4 linked regions of the Drosophila melanogaster genome follow. The protein of the gene in region 4 interacts with the protein of the main gene of each other region in a pairwise test. Each region holds a gene or a part of one and is shown on either strand. Other genes may lie near its edges. The genes, in order: esn, Fancd2, CG13114 and Smyd5.

The links.
Region 1: the proteins of Smyd5 (region 4) and esn interact in a two-hybrid assay, tested with the Drosophila melanogaster proteins (one large-scale study listed by BioGRID).
Region 2: the proteins of Smyd5 (region 4) and Fancd2 interact in a two-hybrid assay, tested with the Drosophila melanogaster proteins (one large-scale study listed by BioGRID).
Region 3: the proteins of Smyd5 (region 4) and CG13114 interact in a two-hybrid assay, tested with the Drosophila melanogaster proteins (one large-scale study listed by BioGRID).

The regions. Positions count from the first base shown.
Region 1 is NT_033778.4:7,104,751-7,109,692, forward strand, and holds the start of esn (espinas), read left to right. Parts: upstream 1-1,929; 5' UTR 1,930-2,191; coding exon 2,192-3,174; intron 3,175-4,942.
Region 2 is NT_033777.3:20,810,297-20,818,097, reverse strand, and holds Fancd2 (Fancd2), read left to right. Parts: upstream 1-1,907; 5' UTR 1,908-2,004; coding exon 2,005-2,079; intron 2,080-2,145; coding exon 2,146-2,900; intron 2,901-3,005; coding exon 3,006-3,147; intron 3,148-3,203; coding exon 3,204-3,272; intron 3,273-3,326; coding exon 3,327-3,517; intron 3,518-3,573; coding exon 3,574-3,646; intron 3,647-3,707; coding exon 3,708-3,877; intron 3,878-3,944; coding exon 3,945-4,432; intron 4,433-4,486; coding exon 4,487-4,685; intron 4,686-4,738; coding exon 4,739-4,861; intron 4,862-4,921; coding exon 4,922-5,949; intron 5,950-6,005; coding exon 6,006-6,230; intron 6,231-6,285; coding exon 6,286-6,505; intron 6,506-6,562; coding exon 6,563-7,241; 3' UTR 7,242-7,294; downstream 7,295-7,801. Other genes in the region: CG17270 (uncharacterized protein), read left to right, coding at 298-458, 513-603, 671-789, 884-1,020. UniProt on the Drosophila melanogaster protein: Required for maintenance of chromosomal stability. Together with Fancl, and probably Fanci, involved in DNA repair of damage caused by agents that induce interstrand cross-links but not agents that cause double strand breaks.
Region 3 is NT_033779.5:9,544,052-9,547,931, forward strand, and holds CG13114 (uncharacterized protein), read left to right. Parts: upstream 1-1,759; 5' UTR 1,760-1,881; intron 1,882-1,965; coding exon 1,966-3,246; 3' UTR 3,247-3,373; downstream 3,374-3,880. Other genes in the region: CG13113 (uncharacterized protein), read left to right, coding at 124-741.
Region 4 is NT_033777.3:21,216,729-21,220,457, reverse strand, and holds Smyd5 (SET and MYND domain containing, class 5), read left to right. Parts: upstream 1-1,666; 5' UTR 1,667-1,749; coding exon 1,750-1,785; intron 1,786-1,839; coding exon 1,840-2,454; intron 2,455-2,509; coding exon 2,510-2,687; intron 2,688-2,746; coding exon 2,747-3,099; 3' UTR 3,100-3,190; downstream 3,191-3,729. Other genes in the region: Oga (O-GlcNAcase), read right to left, coding at 1-128, 190-949, 1,002-1,236.

The sequences.
Region 1 (4,942 bases), on a different chromosome or scaffold from region 4:
ACCGCCCACCGCCCGGGGCAACTTTTGACTTACACGTGTACGTTGCACGTTCAAATCTCAACTTTTACGACCTCTGCAGGATATTATCGTCGTTGTTTTACTAGCGTCACTTTCGGGCTTGTTGTTTTTTGCGCTCCTGCTGCAATGACGTTGACTTTAACCTGTTGGCCATGGCCAAAGTGGGAAAAGGGCTACACTTGGAAAAATTATCCCCACTTTTCACTTCTTTACAGTATTCAGTCAGGAGTATTCATATTGTCATTTAAATCAAGCAGAACATCCTTCTTTAAGATGTGGTCGGGAAATGTAGTGAATCTAATTCAGAAGTTAGTTTTATAGTTGAATGGAGCTTAAAGGCATTGTCTATCGACCATACAACCAATGATTGATTACTAACGATAATGATAATACAATCACCTTGAGCATCTAATGTTCTCAGTGCACCAATTTTCACCTGCTGCTGGCATCTGACAACTGCTTTCGCTGACATTTCTCCAGTTGGAGACCGTGTGTCTCGGTTTTAATCAAAATTGTTTCATGAATTGTTCAGTTGTTCCAACTGTCAAATAAAGTTTTGACGCCCCTCTTTTCGGAAAACTCCGGGCAATTAAAATACTTTTGGCAGTCACTTGCTTATTTCGTTTGCCTTCAGCCGCTTCATGTTGGCTGTTCTCTTCTGGCCTGGTCCTCAATTAGTTGGGCCATTTCGCCCATCACTCTTTGAGTGTCGAAAGAGAGTGCAAATATTTAACGTTAAATGGGGAAATTAATTTATTTACTTTCGTCTTTCATTGCAGTTGGTGAAACAATTTGTTAAAACGCAAACTTCGCAATGGCAATTCGTTTGGGAGAGTTTTGAAGGTAAGTTAAAAATTCAATTGAATCCTTTAGCTTGTAGTAAAGGTCACTAATTTTAAATTATTTCTGGTTGTTAGTAGCCAGAGAAGAAAGTATAATTGCAAAGTGTGAGAAGTTAGCGGCTCTAATTAATTCATCGAGAGAGACACTTTATATAGCGACTCAAAATAATTCAACGAAAGACACATTTTATATTGTGCAAATAATTTTCATAGCATTTTTATATCCGAGATAGTTAGTGGAATGCCTCGGAAGTGAAACTGGTCTTTGATCTATTAAGTCGATTATCAAAATCACCACATAACTTTAAACTAAAAACCATTTTGAAGAATACTTATCCCAAATATCAACAGGACATAATTGCACTGGCTAGTAAATTCTAGCTCAGCCTCAATTGCAATGAATCAGTAGCTGCGTGTTAATTGAATAATATGTGAAATCGGTGTCGACTCCATTACCGTCCGTGTGCTGCCACAAGAAGAGAGTCCCGTGCAGCATAGGGAAGCCACAAACCCTAATTTCCAATGATTGGTTTGTTCCCTCGTCCACGTTCCATCCGCCCGTCTTCATTTCCATTCCGGGGCAAACGGATGGATTTCATGAGAGGGGCCTTACCCGATTACCACATTTTCACCAAGCCCGCAGTCTAATGACCACCTATGAGTGCGCTGCTAATGTGGTAACACAACGCCCAAGGGACGCTGGCCGTGGTCTTCCCTTGTTGGCCGTGATTGAAATGGGTCAATCGCTAAACGGCCTGAAATGTGTCAAATGGCCCGAAGACAGCTGCATCAACCAGTTGCAGCTACCAGAATCTGCCTCTTCAATAGCTGGCTAATAAACGCCACCACATTCTGGCTCGAATCCGAAGCACTCAACCGAAAGCCACTCGACTCACCTGTGCCACCTGTTTTACCTGCACTTGCTTGGGCCACAAGAGCGAGCGAGAGATATATAGATGAGAGAAAGAGAGCTGTGGTGAGTTGGCTGGATCGTCTTGGTGGTGAGTTTGACCTGCACCAACCTGGCCAAAAGCCGCCTTTCGGCCAACAGCTACTTTCTACAATCTTCAGTTGTTTGAGCAGCCCCAAAGCGAGCGGTGCGAGTGCTGTTCTTTCGCGAACCAGGAATTCAGATAGAATCCCAGCCGATACGTATCAATCCGATCGCGAGTGCACGTAATTGGAGCAAGCGGATCGCCCGTTAATTGCTGGCGACGGTAATTGCAGGCCGCCGCATACCTGCCAACTGCTTAAGGTGTTCCCCGTTCGTTAATGTGTCAATTGATTGATTGGCCCGCGACCCGTGATTGACGTGCGTTCCACTCACCGCGATGCTCTCGAAGAAGCGCTGGTGGAAGATCCGGCTGCCGCAGGTGGGCAAGCAGGATCAGTCGAGGAACTACCGGGACATCGTCAACCTGAGCGAGTGCTCCTCAGTGCTGGCCAACACGGCCACCACGATTAGCGACAGCTCCACCACCACCGCCAGCAGCGGCAGTCCCACCCGCCACCGGAGCTGCGACAGTCTCTCCAAGAGCTCCCAGGCGGAGGCGGGCAAGCTGTTCCCCCGGAACATGCCCAGCATACGGCGGAGTCGCCGACGGGCTGTGTCCGCGGAAAGGGAGCGCCTGGCCAGCCGGGAGCGGCTGGAGGAGCAGGTTCAGCCGCCGAAAATGCCGCAGATAGGAGCTGGACAGCAGTCCCGGCTATCGACGGTGACCAAACTGACGCCCAGGAAGCAGAGTAGCAAGTCCACGTGCTCCAAACATCGGGGCAACGCCCCTGCGAAGTGCATCATCAAGTCGGCAGTGCGAACCAAGACCAAGCCAAAGGCCACCACGATCACCCTAGCACCCTACGAAATAGCGCTGGAGCTGCCCAACGAATCCCCTGCACCCACTTTGGCCATGGCCGTGGCCCAATCCTCCGGCTGCGTGCAGAGGAAGCTGAGCAGCGAGGATCAGTTCCACTCCTCGGGAATCTCCTGCAACGGGGAGACCGACGATGACGTGGAGGTGGCCATGCTGACCGGCAGCTTAACGCCCTCCCAGATAGCAAGGATCCAGGGGCAGCAGATCCTCCGATATGACGATCTGAGGAACCTGAACCGCTGCCGCAACAGGAACGCCGTTTGGCTAAATCCCAAGGATACGGAGCAGCTCCTCGAGGTGGACAAGAGCAGGAGGAAGGCCAACTGCTACTTCAACCAGGCCATTGCCGACGATATCCAGCTCAGCGATATTGAAGAACAATTGGCCAGATTTGATGGCCACTCAAAGAGGCCGCCACCGCCGGCAGCCACAGCACCCAAAATGTGAGTTTCCACCGGCTATCTCTAATGGCCATAACTCTCGGCGATAAGTGGGCGAGGGAAAGCGGAGTTGTCGGCGGGAATGTGGCCAACTAATTTGAAATCCATTTGATGAGCTTTGCATTTCCCAATTTAAGTGACTATAAAACGGGCGTCGCAGTAGAGAGTTTACGGCCCAATTTGATGGCTGCTTAATAGCTTCATATGAGCCGTGCTCCGTGCTCCGAGTTGAGGAGCAGTTGGGTTCTGGAGGATTCTATTCCTAACCACTGGAATCATACTTTATGGTTCTTCAAATTAAACTGGCTATTCGAAGTTATAGGCAAGGCAGATCGCATTAAAATGGGCTGGCACACTGACAGCTTTATAGATTTCCGACTTACGTTGAGTTAATACTCGTTATATTGAAAATGGCCGCTTTCGTGTTTGGTAATTTAATACCTTTTAGCTGCCGTTGAAAATGTGGGTCTGCAACTTTCTACCAATGTTGTTTTTACAACTATTGAAAGAGAAGTACGAAGGCCAAACAATTTACCGAATTTACCGACTACAATTGCAATTGTTTAAAAGGTAATAAACCAATGGACACGATTGTTGTTTTTGGCCCTTGGGTTTATAGCCCATTTGAAGTTTGCAATGTTAATATGGAATTAATCCCGTGATCTTTTTTTCTGTTGTCATTTTTGTCACCATCGCCATTTCTTTCCCTTATTAGATTTCATATTGTTTAGGATAAATTAATTTCTTCAGAACTTCTTAAGGAATCCAGAACGATAAGGCATACCTCTTTGGCGGCTCATAAATAGAGCGGAGTTTATCATTTTCACCTGATCAACAGCCGTTGTTGGCTACGCGTATCAGTTTCAATTGCGCTGAGAGTACAAATCCTACAGGTCACCCTCGAATAATGGCACAAATAATCCGCCATAAGAGGCTCTGTCAGCTGGAGGCGACTTTGTGGGCTCGCTAAGAAGGTGTTATTAATGCCCGACTATTTGCAAAACTGGCACCGGAAAGTTATTTATCAACTTTCTGGCCAGCACGTGCTCCTTCCTTCGCCTCGCTGTCGAGTTTTGTTAACTGCAAAATGAATTGCATGCAGCTAAGTGGCAACAGCAGCGGTTAAACGAGGCTGGCAGAACTTCGGGTCCACTGAGCCCATCCTCACGAGGTCCTTCTCCTCCGATCGCCCGTCACCTTGTGTTTGCATCCTGCAGCCTCATAAATTCCATCCGACGACTTCATAAATTGAGTTCTTTTTGCCGCCTGACTGAGTGCCCTTCATCGAAAAGGTATTCTGTATCTTTCAGATCTTTCAGATCTTTCAGGTCCTCGGCATCTTTGCCATTTCTGCCATCTCTTCCATCTTTTGTATTCTCTGCATTCCGCATGCAGACTTCATTTGCATGGACTTCTGTTCATAAATCTACGCAAACTGTTAATTAGATTTTGTTTTGGGTGAAGCCATAAAATATTGGTGGAAGGAGTGCGCCATCAATTTCCCTTAAACAGAACTTTGTAATTTGAGACGCACATCCACCTCCAGTTCCACCTCCAGTTCCACATCCATATGCACATCCTCTCGAGCCATTCGCAATCAGCGGGGCTATTACATTCGCAGTTTAAATAAACCAAACCCAATATTGACTGGCGGCTACTTAAAGCGTAATTAAGCGCCTGGCCGGCCGAACACTTTGCATAGGAATCTCAACAATAAAGTAAATAAGTTGGGACCGCCGGCGGCCCTCTTTTGCCAGCCTGGCTAATTGAA
Region 2 (7,801 bases), 410 kb from region 4:
AAGGTTCTTAATGAGTTTTTCTTATATCTTAAAACATTCGTTACACGAATACGAGTAGGCATAAAAAAACCTTACGACGAATTGTTACATTGTACATTCTATTACAAGTTTTCTGCAGTATAATGACCATTTTGTCAAAATTTCAAATAATTTTCTAAATATATAACCCTGATATGTGTAATAAAGTCTTCAAGTTGTGTTGGACATTAGACCAATTGGTAAACCCATTCCTTAGATTAAATTATTTTCCTTTAAAGGGAGAATGGATATTAAATAACACAGAAAATTTACTTGTAGGGCTGCCATGCAGTCTGGCGGACGACCCCGCGAGCGATTGCTGTACGCCTTCCGGGGATGGATAGCATTCGTGGCCTTCATGGACCTGGGCACGGCCTTTAGGAGCTACATAGAAAGACGCAGCTTCCTGGGCGATCACAGCGACACCCAGTTCATAGAGGGTAAGTGGGGATGGATTGAGCTGCTGGAGTCGCATTTGATGGGTTCTTTCACAGGGGACTACACCATATCGCGGATCATCGGGATGTACTGCCTGCTGAAGGCCATCGCTCTCGTCCACTGCACCCTCTACATTCACTACAAGCCGTAAGTGAATCCCATATATCCTCTGGTTAGATTATCGTCACTAATGGGGATATTTCCCTACGTTTAGGGTGGTCAGCATGGGCGGCTGCTCATTGGCCCTCACCATGGTCTTCTATGCCACCGAGGCACTCTACTTTCGCTCCAGCACCATTAACTTCTACGTGATCTTCCCGTGTGTGCTAAATTGTAAGTAAACACAACTAAAATTCAGTAATAACAAATTATATCTTTTTTGTAACACCCCGAACCATTTAGTAAATTGAATCTTTCGCCTTTTTAGCTATAACTCTACTGGGCCTCATCTATATACCCAAACGACTGCGGCTCTGGGAGCCAAATATGGATCTGGATGACGAAAACTCACAGCTGCTCAAGCAAATGACGGGCTTCAAGAGACGACGAGCGAAAAAACAATAGTTTATTACTATCTAGAAATATGAAAAGCAATAACCGGAAGACACTGAGTTGAGTTTCCGTTAGCACAGTATTGTGAAAGAATCGCAAATTTCGCTTTGGACTGCATTGGTGTGATAGAATCGGCATCATGTTCATCATTATATATACTCAATAGCAATACTGAAAACAACGCCAAATTAGTGATTTTCTATGAACTAGGTAGTGAAGGGTCTAAATGGCCCCGGAATAAGTCAATTTCTGGCATAATCACTTCAAGACATACATATGTTGTACTTCCTTTTTATAAAGCGTATTTATATACATTTAAAAATGTATGGCACAATAGAGTTTTTGCACTTTTAAGAGTTGAAAATCGATACTAGGAAATATTTATCTAATTATCAGAGACATCTAGCACCCGAGTTAAATAATTAAAATCGAAAGGCTTTAAATTAACAAATAAGCTCATAATCATCTTATTTACATATACGATTATCAATTTATGGATCATGCTTCCGTATCGATCATAAAATTAAGGAACATTTTATAGTCATTACGTATGATTGAATGTTATGTAAACCTAAAAAAAAGAAAATACAATAATAGTTTTGTACGAATTATGTAGATTATGTTTCAATAAAAATTTGAATTGACGAAAGTGGATTTTTATTTAGACTTCTACACACAGTGCTCTAAAGGTCGTTTCTTCATTTATTTTGTTAGATTTTAATTAGTAATGTTAAAAAAAAATAAGTATTTCTATAAGAGTTGAATTATTAGTTAATTTTTATAATCATTTGAAAATCGTAAAATTTGTATAAGAATTGTTACGATATTCGTTATTGCGCTTAGCGAATTCACGAACCTCGACCACCGCGGCTATCGATAAAAACTGATGTCAATGCTCGGTCACACTGCACCTGCATACGCGCCATTAAATTGTTTTGTTTTTATTATTTTGTGATTTAAGATTGAAGATTGAAGCTTATAAAGCTTTCCAGTACTATGTATAAACAATTTAAAAAACGCTCAAAGAAACCTCTGAACACCATCGATGAGAACGCGACCATAAAAGTGCCGGTAAGTGGACATTCGGACCAGTCGGAATTTGGAACTCCATTTACTTGACCAAAATCTGTGTTTCAGCGCCTGGCGGAGACGACCACAAATATATCCGTTGAGTCCTCATCTGGCGGAAGCGAGGAGAACATACCCGCCTCCCAGGAGCACACGCAGCGATTTCTGTCGCAGCACAGTGTTATCCTGGCCGCCACTCTGGGTCGCACTCAATCCTCCAGCCGGAACATTGCAACGCTCTCCCGACAACCGAACAACTTTTTCGAACTGGTCCTGGTTCGAGCAGGGGTCCAGTTGGACCAGGGTGATAGCCTCATCCTGGCCTGCGATCATGTCCCCATAGTCTCCAAGCTGCGGGAAATCTTTACGAGTGCCTCCTCGTATACCGACAAAATGGAGACATTCAAGACGGGTCTGAATGCTGCAATGGCGCCTGGGTCGAAGCTGGTGCAGAAGCTCCTAACCGGCTGCACCGTGGACGCAGCTGGCGAGGAACAGATCTACCAGTCCCAGAACAGCATGTTTATGAACTTCCTCATGATCGACTTTATGCGAGATGCCTGCGTGGAGGTGCTGCTGAACAAGATCGAGGAGGTGGCCAAATCTGATCGAGTCATAATGGGCAAAGCAGCTATTCCCTTGCCACTGCTACCGCTGATGCTGACGCAACTGCGCTACTTGACCGCCTCGCACAAAGTAGAGATCTACAGTCGCATCGAGGTCATTTTCAACAGGGCTACGGAATCGGCCAAATTGGACATCATAGCCAATGCTGAGTTGATACTCGATGCCAGTATGCACGATGAGTTCGTCGAGCTGCTTAAGTAAGTAAAATTATTTAAAGCAGAGCAGAAGAATTTGTGTACTCGCTCGCTCTATGGACTATCTACGTTCTTTCTTACTAATCGTATAATTTAATTTCGTGGCAGCATCAACTATTCCAGCACTGAAGACCTCTTTCACATGACCACAGTGCAAACTCTGGGTAACTTATCGCTTTCAGACAGAACGCAGGCCAAGTTACGAGTGCGCATTTTGGACTTCGCCACAAGTGGTCAATGTTCGGATGCGGTAATTTGAAAATTAGACCGATTCTAGAATTCTATTTAAATGTTTTGTTATCTTAGATCTTGCCGCATCTCATCAGGCTGCTGCTTAACGTTCTGAAAATTGATACAGATGACAGCGTGCGCGACGTAAGGTTCTTACTCCGTTCCCTAAGCATTCGGTTTCAGTTCGTTCATTTGCAGTTGATAGGCAGCCTGCGTGGAATCTTCAACTGGCGTCACACAAATGAGACGGAAAAAATCTCGGCAAGCGAAGACAGTAAGAAGTCTCAGCTGGAACTTTTTGGCTTCCTAGAACTAGGCTTGATACGATCGAAGAAGTTTTATCAAGCGTGCCAAAGGTCATCTGCTAGTGTGCCAGCTGCCGAATTTACGTGAGTACATAGACTGGCCTATACGAATTCAAGTTTAAATAATTACATATTTGCAGCTCCTTTGACATGATACTTCTGCTTTTGTTGATACATGTTAATGAAGATAATTCATTGTACATCGAAAATATTGTAAGTATTCCTTAAAAAATAAAAAAAAAAATAAATTCATTACATTTTACTAATTCGTCAGCTTCGACGACGCATTAAACTGGAGCATATTACAGTGAGCATTTTGGAAGAGATACGACAGCACTATAGACACATCCTGGAGCAGCACATAACCACACTGATGAACATCCTTCACGACTTTATGCGAGAGAAAAATCGCATCGTGTCCGATTTCGCCAAATCTTCGTACAGGTGTGGTTACCTAAAGAACCCTAAAGAAAAATCATATTAATTTCTACTTTGTTTTTTTTTTTTGCAGTATACTTTTTAAGATTTTTAACTCGATCCAGAAAAATATTCTAAAGAAGCTGTTGGAGCTTACCTGTGACAAATCATCGCCCCACCTGACAACAATGGCACTGGAATTGCTTCGCGAGCTGCAACGAAAGAGTGCCAAGGATGTTCAGAATTGTGCAACTCTACTTATACCCATGCTGGATAGGATAAGTGATCTAAGTCTTACACAAACCCGCGTTGCTATGGACCTTCTGTGCCATGTCGCATTTCCGGATCCAAATCTATCGCCCTGCCTGCAACTCCAAGAGCAAGTCGATATGGTGGTTAAAAAGCAGCTGATCAACTCCATTGATAATATTAAAAAGCAGGGAATTATTGGCTGTGTGCAACTCATCGATGCAATGGCACGCATCGCGAACAATGGTGTTGATCGTGACGAGTTTATTGCCAGCGTGGAAAACGTCGATTCCTTGCCCGATGGCCGAGGCAAAATGGCTGCCAACTTAATCAGTAATTAAGTGCCTGACATACTTAAACGTGTATATTAATATTTTTTCCATGCAGTACGCACCGAGGCATCAATAGGAAATAGTACCGAGTCCTTAGCCCTGTTTTTTGAAGAACTGGCCACGGTTTTCAATCAGCGCAATGAAGGAACCTCCGGCTGTGAGTTGGACAACCAATTCATTGCTTGGGCCTGCGACTTAGTGACATTCCGCTTCCAGGCAAGCTTTGTCACCGAGAATGTGCCCGAGACTTTAAAGTATGTACTGACTTTTTTAAACAAGTATGTCGCTAATCAAATTTGCTTTTAAGGGGAATTAAACTGGAATATCAGTTAAATATCAATGAATTGGACGATACAGATGCAAACACTGAATCGGATGTCCTTAATATTGGCATAAATATCTCAAAACTAGTTTTATCACCCAAAGTGAAGTGAGTTTCTTATCTCATGAGTTTCATAAAGCTTTTGTATTTTAACGTACCCATTTACAGAGCTTGTGATTCTATATACGTGCTGGCTCCTCTGTTCAACTATGTCAGAGTGCTGTACAAGCACCGCCACCAAGACAGCTTGGAGAGCATCAATGCTTTACTAGGCTGTGCCATTGTGTTGCCCTCATTCTTTGAGGATGACAACTATGTGTCCGTTTTTGAAAACTTTGAGGCGGAGCAGCAAAAAGACATTTTGAGCATTTACTTTCACACCGTCAATTGGATGAGGGTGTCGATCAGTGCGTTTGCATCACAACGTGATCCTCCCACACGGCGTCGAGTTCTATCTAGACTTGGAGAACTAATTCGTATCGAGCAGAGAATGAAGCCCCTCCTGGCGAGAGCGCCCGTCGACTTCGTGGCACCGCCATATCAATTCCTCACCAACGTCAAGCTCTCGAACCAGAATCAGAAACGTCCAGGGCCTAAGCCAGCTGCCAAACTAAACGCAACTCTACCAGAACCCGATTTAACTGGTAATCAACCATCGATCGCTGACTTCACCATTAAGGTTGGCCAGTGCAAGACCGTTAAGACGAAGACTGACTTTGAGCAGATGTATGGGCCGCGGGAGAGATACAGGCCAATGGAAGTGGAAATCATCATGCTCTTGGTCGAGCAGAAGTTTGTCCTGAACCACCAGCTGGAAGAGGAGCAAATGGGGGAGTTTCTTGGTCTTCTGGAGCTACGATTCCTGCTGGAAGACGTGGTTCAAAAACTTGAAGCAGCAGTCCTTCGACATCACGATTCTTATGATGCGGACAGCTTTAGGCCGCATCTGGCCAAACCGGAGGATTTTATTTGCGATCTACTTCCATGCCTACACGAGGTGAATAATCACCTAATAACCCTGGGCGAGGCCATTGACAATCAGCTTACGGAAGTCAGTCATGTGTACAGCAATCTGGATCTGTTTAAGGATCAATTTTGCTATATCAAATCGTGCTTTGGGCTGTGCGTCCGGCTGTTTGCCTTGTACTTCGCCTGGAGCGAGTGGAGTGATAAGTCGCAGGAACAACTGCTCCATAGTAAGGTGTTTTAAATTTTACGCAAACCTTAAAATGTAACGTTACTATTTTTGCAGAGTCTTTGCTTAAGCTACAGCCTAAAACACAATGGAAGAGACTAGAGAAGCAAAGTGTTCCTCAGCTGGCCAACCTAACTTTTCAATACTTTCTAAAGTATGAGAAATCCGTCCTGAATCTTAGTACTGCAGTACATCTTCATCGATTGTTGTGTAACTTGTTAAAGCTGGGCAGTTTACAGAGCGATGCTAGCCAACCGAGATTTCAGCAAGCCGAGGACTTACGTAAGCACTAACCATGAAATATGAAGTGCAATTTTAGAATTTATTACTCATGCAGGGATACTGTGTGGCACGCTGCTGCGCCGTAAATGGTTCCACTACTCTGGCACCTTGGACAAAGGTGGTCAGTGCAATATTTATTTGGACGAGCTGGTTAAGGGATTCCTGAAAAAATCGAATGCCAAGAGTCAAACCGAACTACTTACTGAGCTGGTTAAACAATGCAGCATACTGAATACGAAGGACAAAGCACTGACATCCTTCCCCAACTTTAAAAAGTAAGAAAATCAGTTGATCCGTATTTTGTATGTTTTATTAATTCTTTCCCCTCATAGGGCCAACTTCCCACTACTCTTTCGTGGACTGTGCGAGGTGCTTATTCACTCCCTAAGTGGTCAAGTTAGCGTCGACAGCCGTGGTGATAAATTGAAGTTATGGGAGTCAGCAGTCGATTTGTTGAATGGCTTGCTCAGCATTGTGCAGCAGGTGGAACAGCCCAGAAACTTTGGGCTGTTTCTAAAACACTCCCTGCTATTCCTTAAATTGCTGCTTCAGCACGGAATGTCTGCGCTGGAATCTATTGTTCGGGAAGATCCCGAAAGGCTAACAAGGTTTTTGCACGAGCTCCAGAAGGTGACACGCTTTCTGCACCAACTCTGCTGTCATTCCAAGTCCATTAAGAATACGGCTATAATCAGCTATATTCCCAGCCTGCGGGAAACGATTGAGACGCTGGTCTTCCGAGTCAAAGCCCTGTTGGCTGCCAACAACTGTCATTCTGCTTTCCACATGGGAAATATGATCAACAGGGATCTCCACGGAGATTCTATCATAACACCCAGGAGTTCCTTCGCCGGCGAGGAAAACAGCGACGATGAATTACCTGCGGACGACACCAGCGTAGATGAAACCGTCTTGGGCGATGACATGGGCATCACCGCCGTTAGCGTGAGCACAAGGCCCAGCGATGGGAGTCGTCGGAGCAAGTCCTCCTCCCGCAGCAAATGCTTTTAAATAGCGTAATACGACTAATAAGAATTTCAAATAAATCAGTGACGTTGACGCAGAGTCATGGCGTTTTATTTGTTTAGTAGTCTAGAATTGAGCAGACGACGATGTTTGCATTCTTTATTTATTTCATTTTATTATCTGGATGCAATTTTATTTAATTTTCGTATTACAAATAATAACAAATGTATGTATATCAAATATTTTAGTACAATATGCTTCATTTCATTTATTTTCTTCGTTAACAATAATTGTTTATTAAGACGTAAAAGTTGTTCTCCCATTTTTCTCACATTCGGCCTTCCTCTACGATGAACTCTGATTGTTTATTTTTATTATTTAATTTCCATTTGTTTTTATCTCGTAATAATTGGCGACGTTACGTTCACGGTTTATGAATCCCTTTCATACGTGTGGTATGTGTATGCAAATGTTTTGTGATGTTGTATATCAATTGGTTGTTTATAAAAGGGGGTTTAAAATCAAATCAATCAAGTATAATTGTATAGGTATATGTAATTAAAAGAGCAAGAAAACACACACAAACTATAAATTTAAAGTAAAAC
Region 3 (3,880 bases), on a different chromosome or scaffold from region 4:
CGCGACATGGCCCATAGATGCCTCTAATCTCACGTAGCTGCTGCCACTTTGGGGGCGTCCAATTACCGGCGCAGTCGACGTCGTCGATGGCGATTCTATTGGATTTGGCTAACGCTCTGACCAATGCATCCATGGAGCATCAGTGCGAAAATGGTCGGCTGCCCGGAGACACGACAACTACTGGTCACATTGCTATTGACCCTTGGCTTCTGCCTGGGGGGAAGCTCAAAGGATACAGTTGCGGATGCGGATGCCAAGTGGATGGCTCCACTTAAGCAGTATGGGTATACGCCGCAGCATCTGAAGAACAAAGTGGAGCATGGTGAATTCACCACCTTCGAACTGGGCACCCCCAACTACCAGATTCTCAATCCCGAAGACGAACCGGAATACATAACTGCGGATCAACCGCATTATCAGGAGATGCTGAGGCGACTTACCAGTGGTCGTAGTAAAGCTGACACCATTGATGTGGAAATGGCAAGTCGCACGGAAACGGTTCGCGAGACTTCCGATCCGGGTCAATCTAAAAAACCATCTCAAATTCAAGTGCCAGTTAAACCGAAGACACAACTAAAACAAAATCGCTGGGAGAAACTAAGGAAGCGCAGCTCCATCGAAAAAAGACGTGACCACAAGGAAACCATGGAAACTGATGTGCGGGATGATCAAAGTTTCTTCCCTGATATTCAGGTTTACCCCGGCTTACCCTTCCAAAGTCGTGTAGCAAATCTAAATTAATCATAAATAAGTCACCTCATCCAAATGTGCAAATGGCTTTGATTTTAAGTGATCTCTGGTGATTCGGACAATGAATAAATACTAAAAGTATAAAAGTAAAAAAAATAAAGTACTTTTTTAAAGGACTACTTTAAATAAATCGGAGTTTTTTGCTATTTTTCTTTGTAAGGCTAAAATTGTTATGACTTTTACTCGCAATAATGAAAATAGTGATGTTGCTTATTTTTGTTAAAACAAAAAAGATTAAGAGTGCCCCCAATTTTAAGCAGAGTTTTCCCAAAATGTTGTTTAAATAATGAGCTAGACAAAATGTTAAATGGTCAAGATACTATTATTTAAATCAGTAAAGCTTTTGTACTCAATTTGTAGGAAGATAATTTAGGTATTGAGCAATATCGCTTACAAAAATACCATTATCCATAGTGTACGTGTAGACCTTGAGTTCCACAAAGAATTACAACCAAAAATTGATAAGTCAATCGACCCCAGACGTTAATATCAGATCTAGGCCGAGACCCAGAAATTATAAATCCCCCAAGCAGCTGGAAATTTTGTGCAGAACCGAAAAAATGATCATTGCGGTCGGAATGGTTTTGGCTATTTATAAAATTAAAGATTTCAGGAGGATTGTTTATTCTGGCTAATGAGAAACTGCCTAAAAAAAATGCATTATGAAGTTCGTCTTTCTCTTAAAGGTTATTGTCATGCCAAAGGTCATACATAAATATGTTTGCTATATGTTTTTGATTAAACAACTCTTGTCGCGAGCACTCCAAGCTATCGACGAGTGCGGGCAGAAATGCTTGAATGTGTATTACGGAAGCGGCGGCATCTGGCGATTGTCTTTACCCATTCCGGACCCATTCCGGACAACCACGCCCCATTCCGAGCCGTTTGGGGCGTTTGGAACGTGATGCGGTCAACGCTTCCGCGACCCATTTGCTCGGCGTTGTAAGAACGAGAAGAAGAAGCTCTCGGCCAGCGCAGCGTATTTAAGAGCTATTCAGCAAAATGCATGAAAGAGTTTCGCACGCGACCGACCAACAGCCAACAAGTGCCATCCATCGGCGATCCGGGACAGAAATTCCAGCAATTGTGGGGAAAGTGATCGAGCGAGCGAGGGAGAAATTCAGTTGAAAGGTAGGGTAACGGGGTCAATCGATTGGGAACGATTCCGGCGCAATTCTCTGACCCATTCTAAATTCAATATTCTCCCCCCTTCAGATGTTCGAACGCTGCAATTTATTATTTATGACCATGCTGATGGCATCGGCACTATTGACCCAAGCCCATTTCCCGGAATATTGTGCGGAATGTGAACAGGAGGTGTGGGAACAGGTGCCGTGCAGCGAGGTGCCCACAACGGTAGCGCCAACAACAACCGGAGGCTCTACGTTGAGCCCGCCCACAACCAGCGCCACCAGCCCGGGACCTATTTACCCAACAACAACCAGTGCCCCACCCACGCCCACGGATTACACTACACAGCCATCGGAGTACAAGAAGTGCTACTGCGAATGCAAGCTGGGCTGCAAGGAGTTCTGCCGCAAGGTGATCTCTTCTGAGCCCAAGCAGCCGCTCACCCAGATCTCATCCATTGGGGAGTATGCCCCAGGTGGCCAGGTGGAGTACACGCATGTCCATCAGCGCAAATACTTTCCCAAGTACGGAGGCGAATCCTATGGGGGATTGGTAGGACCAGTGGGCGGACCCAAGGCCTATAAGCCATATCCATTGGTCTACGAACAGGCGGCATCAGCTGCTTCACCGGCTTCCATTCCCTCGGTGGCTTCCTCACCAGCGGTGGCCAGCATAGCTGCTCCTAATTACACGCTGGAGGAGTTGGCCCAATTGCTTAGCACTGCGTATGGCACCAAGAAGGGCTACCCAGCTAGTGTGCCAACTCCGCCACGTATTCAGCTTCAGCCAGCTCCCTCCGTTTTCTATTCCCCGGTTCCAAGCTACAAAAAGCAAGTGGTTCCACTCGTGAGCAAAGTGGCGCCGGCACCCAAAATCTCCTCCAGCATTAAGTATGCCGCCTCAGCGGTTTCATCATCATCATCGGGCGTGTCGGTGGCCAAGATAAAGACTCCCTACGAGGAGAAGATTGTGGTGGCCACACCGTCTCCCATTTATGAGAGATCCACATCGTATCCTATTGTTGAAGCACCCAAGGAATACTCGGCGCCCCAGACGGAAGTCTATCCCGTTGTGCAGAGCCAAACGGAGTCGTATCCCAGCCACACACCCATATATCCAAGTCCCACGGAATCCTATCCCAGCCAAAAGGACTCCTACCCCAGCATCACAGAGTCATATCCCAGCCAAACTGAGTCCTATCAACCGCGTACGGAAGCCTATCCCGTACCCCAACCGGAGATCAAGCCATATGGTGGTCCCGATTCTGGACCCGATAAGCCATCGTCCACGTTCGATCTGGCCATCGATAATTATCTGAAGGACTTCGGATATGGCAACCAAGGAAGGGGATATGCGGACTACTAAAGTTCCATACGTTGTTTTTTAGGATTAGTCTAGGCTAGAATGTTTTCTAGGTATCCCATTATTTATTGATGTACTCCCCGTTTCCTGTTGACTACATGATGATTAAATAAATTATTAACAAAAAACTAAAGAATATTATGGTCTTAGTATTATAGTTGAAATAACTATTGCATACTTTTGGGCTATAAAGTAGCAATTTCCCCCCTTCGATTTTGTTAAAAGAATTAATGAAACAAGAGATAAAAATTTACAAGACTAATAAAATTATGAAAAAAAGCTTTTATAGTTCCTGAAATCTCGACTTTCATACGGACATAACCAGATCGACTTGGCTATTGATCCTATTGATCAAGAATATATATACTTTATACATAGTATAAAGTAGCGAGTTTGCTACTTTTCAAAAACGATCATTTATAATTCGGCTTGACGCATTTTATTATTTGTATTTAAAAAGTTTTCTTCATTTGCATTCATTTTTTTATATACTTTCTTGTTGTCGATAACATTGAATAAGATTTCATCTTACGCATTTCGCCAGCTTAATTCTGGTTTATGCTTGCCAATTTTGATAAGCATAGATATATACACAAATTAGATTCATAAATTTTCGTATGCAAATATATATGATTTA
Region 4 (3,729 bases):
AGGTATTTATGGAGGGTATGATGGGAATAATGGGCATCACCATTTGGACTTGAGGCTGGGGCTTGGTGATCGGTCCCCAGGCCTCCTTTTTCATGAAGAACTCCGGTAGCCACTCCGTTATAGCGTTTCTTAAAGATGATTTAAATGATTCGTTAGCTTTTCTTGCGTTATTTACCTAGTTTTACTCACTTGAGAGCCAAGCGTGGGTGGTAAACGTTCTTAGAGAGAAACTCCGCCGGTAGGTCATCATCGTTTTCAGTCTCCAGTTTTATGTCTGCACTTAGCGAGCTGTTCACTTTCGAGTCCAGGCTGCAGCGCGACCAGAAGGCCAGCGAATGGATGGCAACAAAATTGCCATAGAATTCGCAGTTGGGATTGGTCATAACACCACGCAGGTGGGGAATAAGCTCCGGCGATCGACCGCTGTACGGTCCCATGAAGATTCGCTTCTGGTCGTAGTCGTTGGCATGAAGATTGTCCCAGATGCACGGCGGACGGCGCAGCACCTCGGTAATCTCTTGAATCGACTCAAGGGATATGTTCTTGGAGATAACCTTATCCCCCGTCCACAAAATATCGATCTCGTTGTTCAGCTTGGAGCCCAGGGTATTGAGGTACTCCGATTCCTGGACCGTTGGCACCGCTCGCGAGGCACAGTACTGGGTGGGGCAGAAGAGAAACCTGGGGCTGCCCAGATGCGTGTATATCTCGTTGGTCACCGACACGTGCGCGTTAGCAAACGTCTGAAAGACCTCCTTGTCCGCCTTTGAGAGCTCCGACTCGATGTCGTCAAAGAGCAGGGCGTAGGCCTCACACCCAAACTGCGCAACCTGGTCCAGCTTGCGCTTCAACGTTGCGATCTCCTTGGGGCTGCTGTAGGTCATGTCCAGTCCGGGCGATAACGCGTAGTAAAAGGTGATGCCCGCCTCCTTGGCCGCTGCAATGAGACCTGCATGGAAGGCACTTAACAAAAGGACTAGCTGAGTTCAAAGGTTATTTACTGGAAAGGTGATCCGCCTCCTCAACGGTGTATAGCTCTCGCCAGTAGGCGCGGTGCTTGTAGTCGTCCTTTGGTGCGTACATGTACGAAGGACTGGACCCCATGCCCATGGATTTCAGCTTGCGGAACAGGTCCTTGCGCTGCTCCGTGGTCCACGGCCGGCCGTAGAATCCCTCGATCACGCCGCAGATAAACTGCCGCTTGCCATCGGCTTGGCTGCCCGCTTCGTCTGCCATTTCTAGTAGGCCGGGGAATCGGATGTGGCAATTTGCGAGGACCAAATAAGTCTTTCTTTTCTCCTCTCTTCTCAGGATTTGTATATCGTTTGGTTCGGACAATTGCACCTTGTGCTATCGATAGCTCAAGACATCGATATACTGACATCGCAATAACCATGTTCAGTCAATTTCGGTTAGAATTGGTTTTATAAATACACAAGGTGCACCCTGTTGTTTGAGCTACACGAATCTTTGAATTGCATCTAAAAAATATCAACCCAACTAATCAGGCACTGACTATAGTTTTTTTAGATCTATGAAGAAACTAATTGAATAAGTTGCATCTTCATGACCCATTACTTGATTTTAGCCCGGAAGGAAAAGTTTATGAAATTAAACTTTAAATATTTTATAGGAAACCTTAACGGCTTAAATACCATAGTATTTTATATTCGTGCTCGAGGGTGCGGCCACACTGCACTACACGTGCAATTGGATTGGCAAAAACAAAGCCAAAAAGCCGAGTAAACAATGAATAATTTTGAAATTCGGGAGTTGCCCGGCAAGGTAGGTCAAGTCCCGTCACCATACTATCCCTGAATACATTAAAAAATTCATCAGGGACGTGCGATGATCGCGACCAAAAATTTCGCGAAGGACGAGGTGATCTTCGAGGAGGAACCGTTCGTGTCCCGGCAGTTCTCGTGGAACGTGGCCTACGGCTATGCGGCGTGTGACCACTGCATGCGGCCACTGGAGACGGTGTTAGAGAATGTGCGCCGCCTGGCCAGTGATCCCAAAGTGGAGGTGCCGCTGCTTCAACACGATCCCACCGCCCAGTGGGTGGCCCAGTTCACCCAGTGCCCACGGTGCAAGGTGCGCTACTGCTCCGAGGACTGCCTAATGGAGGCGCAGAAGCGCTACCACCGCGTGGCTTGCATGGGCGCCTTCCACTCCGACGACACACATCCCATCAATGTACTGAATGAGACTTGGAAAAAGATGCACTATCCGCCCGAGACGGGTAGCATAATGCTGATTGTCCGCCTGATGGCTCTTTACCAGCAGAGCACCAAGAAGGAGGAGTTCCTCGAGCAATTGCAGTCCTTCCAGTCGCTGATTGTGAATCGCGAGCAGAAGATCTATCACAAAATGCTGGGCGAGAACTTTGAGCAGCAGATGGAGCAGTTGTATCTTGCGTTCTGCAATGCTTTCACGGGCGAGGAGTTCTCCATAGTATGCATATCCTTACAGAGTGCGTTAAAACGCGAATACATCTTTTGTTTTCCAGTTCAAAACACCGGATGCTTTCAAGACATTGATGGCCATTCTGGGAACTAACAGCCAGGGAATTGCAACAAGCGTGCTTTCCCAGTGGGTTGCCAAGGTGTCCGATCTACCACTAACGGATTCGGAAAAGGAACAGCTCGACACGGTCATCGACGGACTGTACGCCAAAGTCGGAGAATGTAATTATTTCTCAGATCACCTTGTTAGCCAATTATCCATATCAACATCGCCCCGACAGTTGCTGGCGAATTCTTGAATAACGAGGGCTCTGGACTATACCTGCTGCAGAGCAAAATCAACCACAGTTGCGTGCCGAATGCCTGCTCCACATTTCCCTATTCCAACGACATTGTCGTGCTCAAGGCCTTGGCTCCCATTCAACAGGGCGAAGAGATCTGCATCTCCTACCTGGACGAATGCATGCTGGAGCGTAGTCGCCACTCGAGGCACAAGGTCTTGCGCGAGAACTACGTGTTCATCTGCCAGTGCCCCAAGTGCCGCGCCCAGGCGTCCGATCCCGACGAGACCAGCGAAGATGACGATGACGACGACGAAATGGACGACTACGACGATGATGACGACATGAACTAAACTAAGAATTAATTTTTTATTTCATTAAAAAGCTCTTATGTACGTACATATTGTAAAATATATTTATGTTAAAGATTTTGAAGAAGTGTACAAGTGTGCTTGTTAATGTACGTGTGGCCGTCTTTTTTCAATTTGTTGCTGCCGGGGAAGGTACATTAGGCGCTAAAAGCTCATGCACACCGTTATCCAGGGGGACTTCCCTCACCTCTATGACAAAATTGCAGAAACGTGTCATCAGGCCAAGGTACTGGAGCAGATCTTCGTCCGGTATGACATAATCCAGTTCTTTATTAAGCAAAACGAAGTTCACTATCCCAAATTTGGCGCGAACCACGTTCTTTATGTCGTTTATAGTAAGGGGGCGAGGTTCACCCGGCTCCCCTACTATTATCATTTTTTTTATATCGCCGAACTGAAACGCTATTATCGTTCTTGCAGAAAGTACCATTTTCACTGAAGCTATACTTATTTGGTTTCCCGTTTGAAAGTCAATTTCGAAAATAACAATACAGACCAATCAGAAAACTATACTTTATATAGTACAAAGCAAAAAGAATTCTGACGCAATATACAAAGTAAACTAAACACAAAAAACACACTGGACCAAATTCCTCACACCTGGAAGCGGGC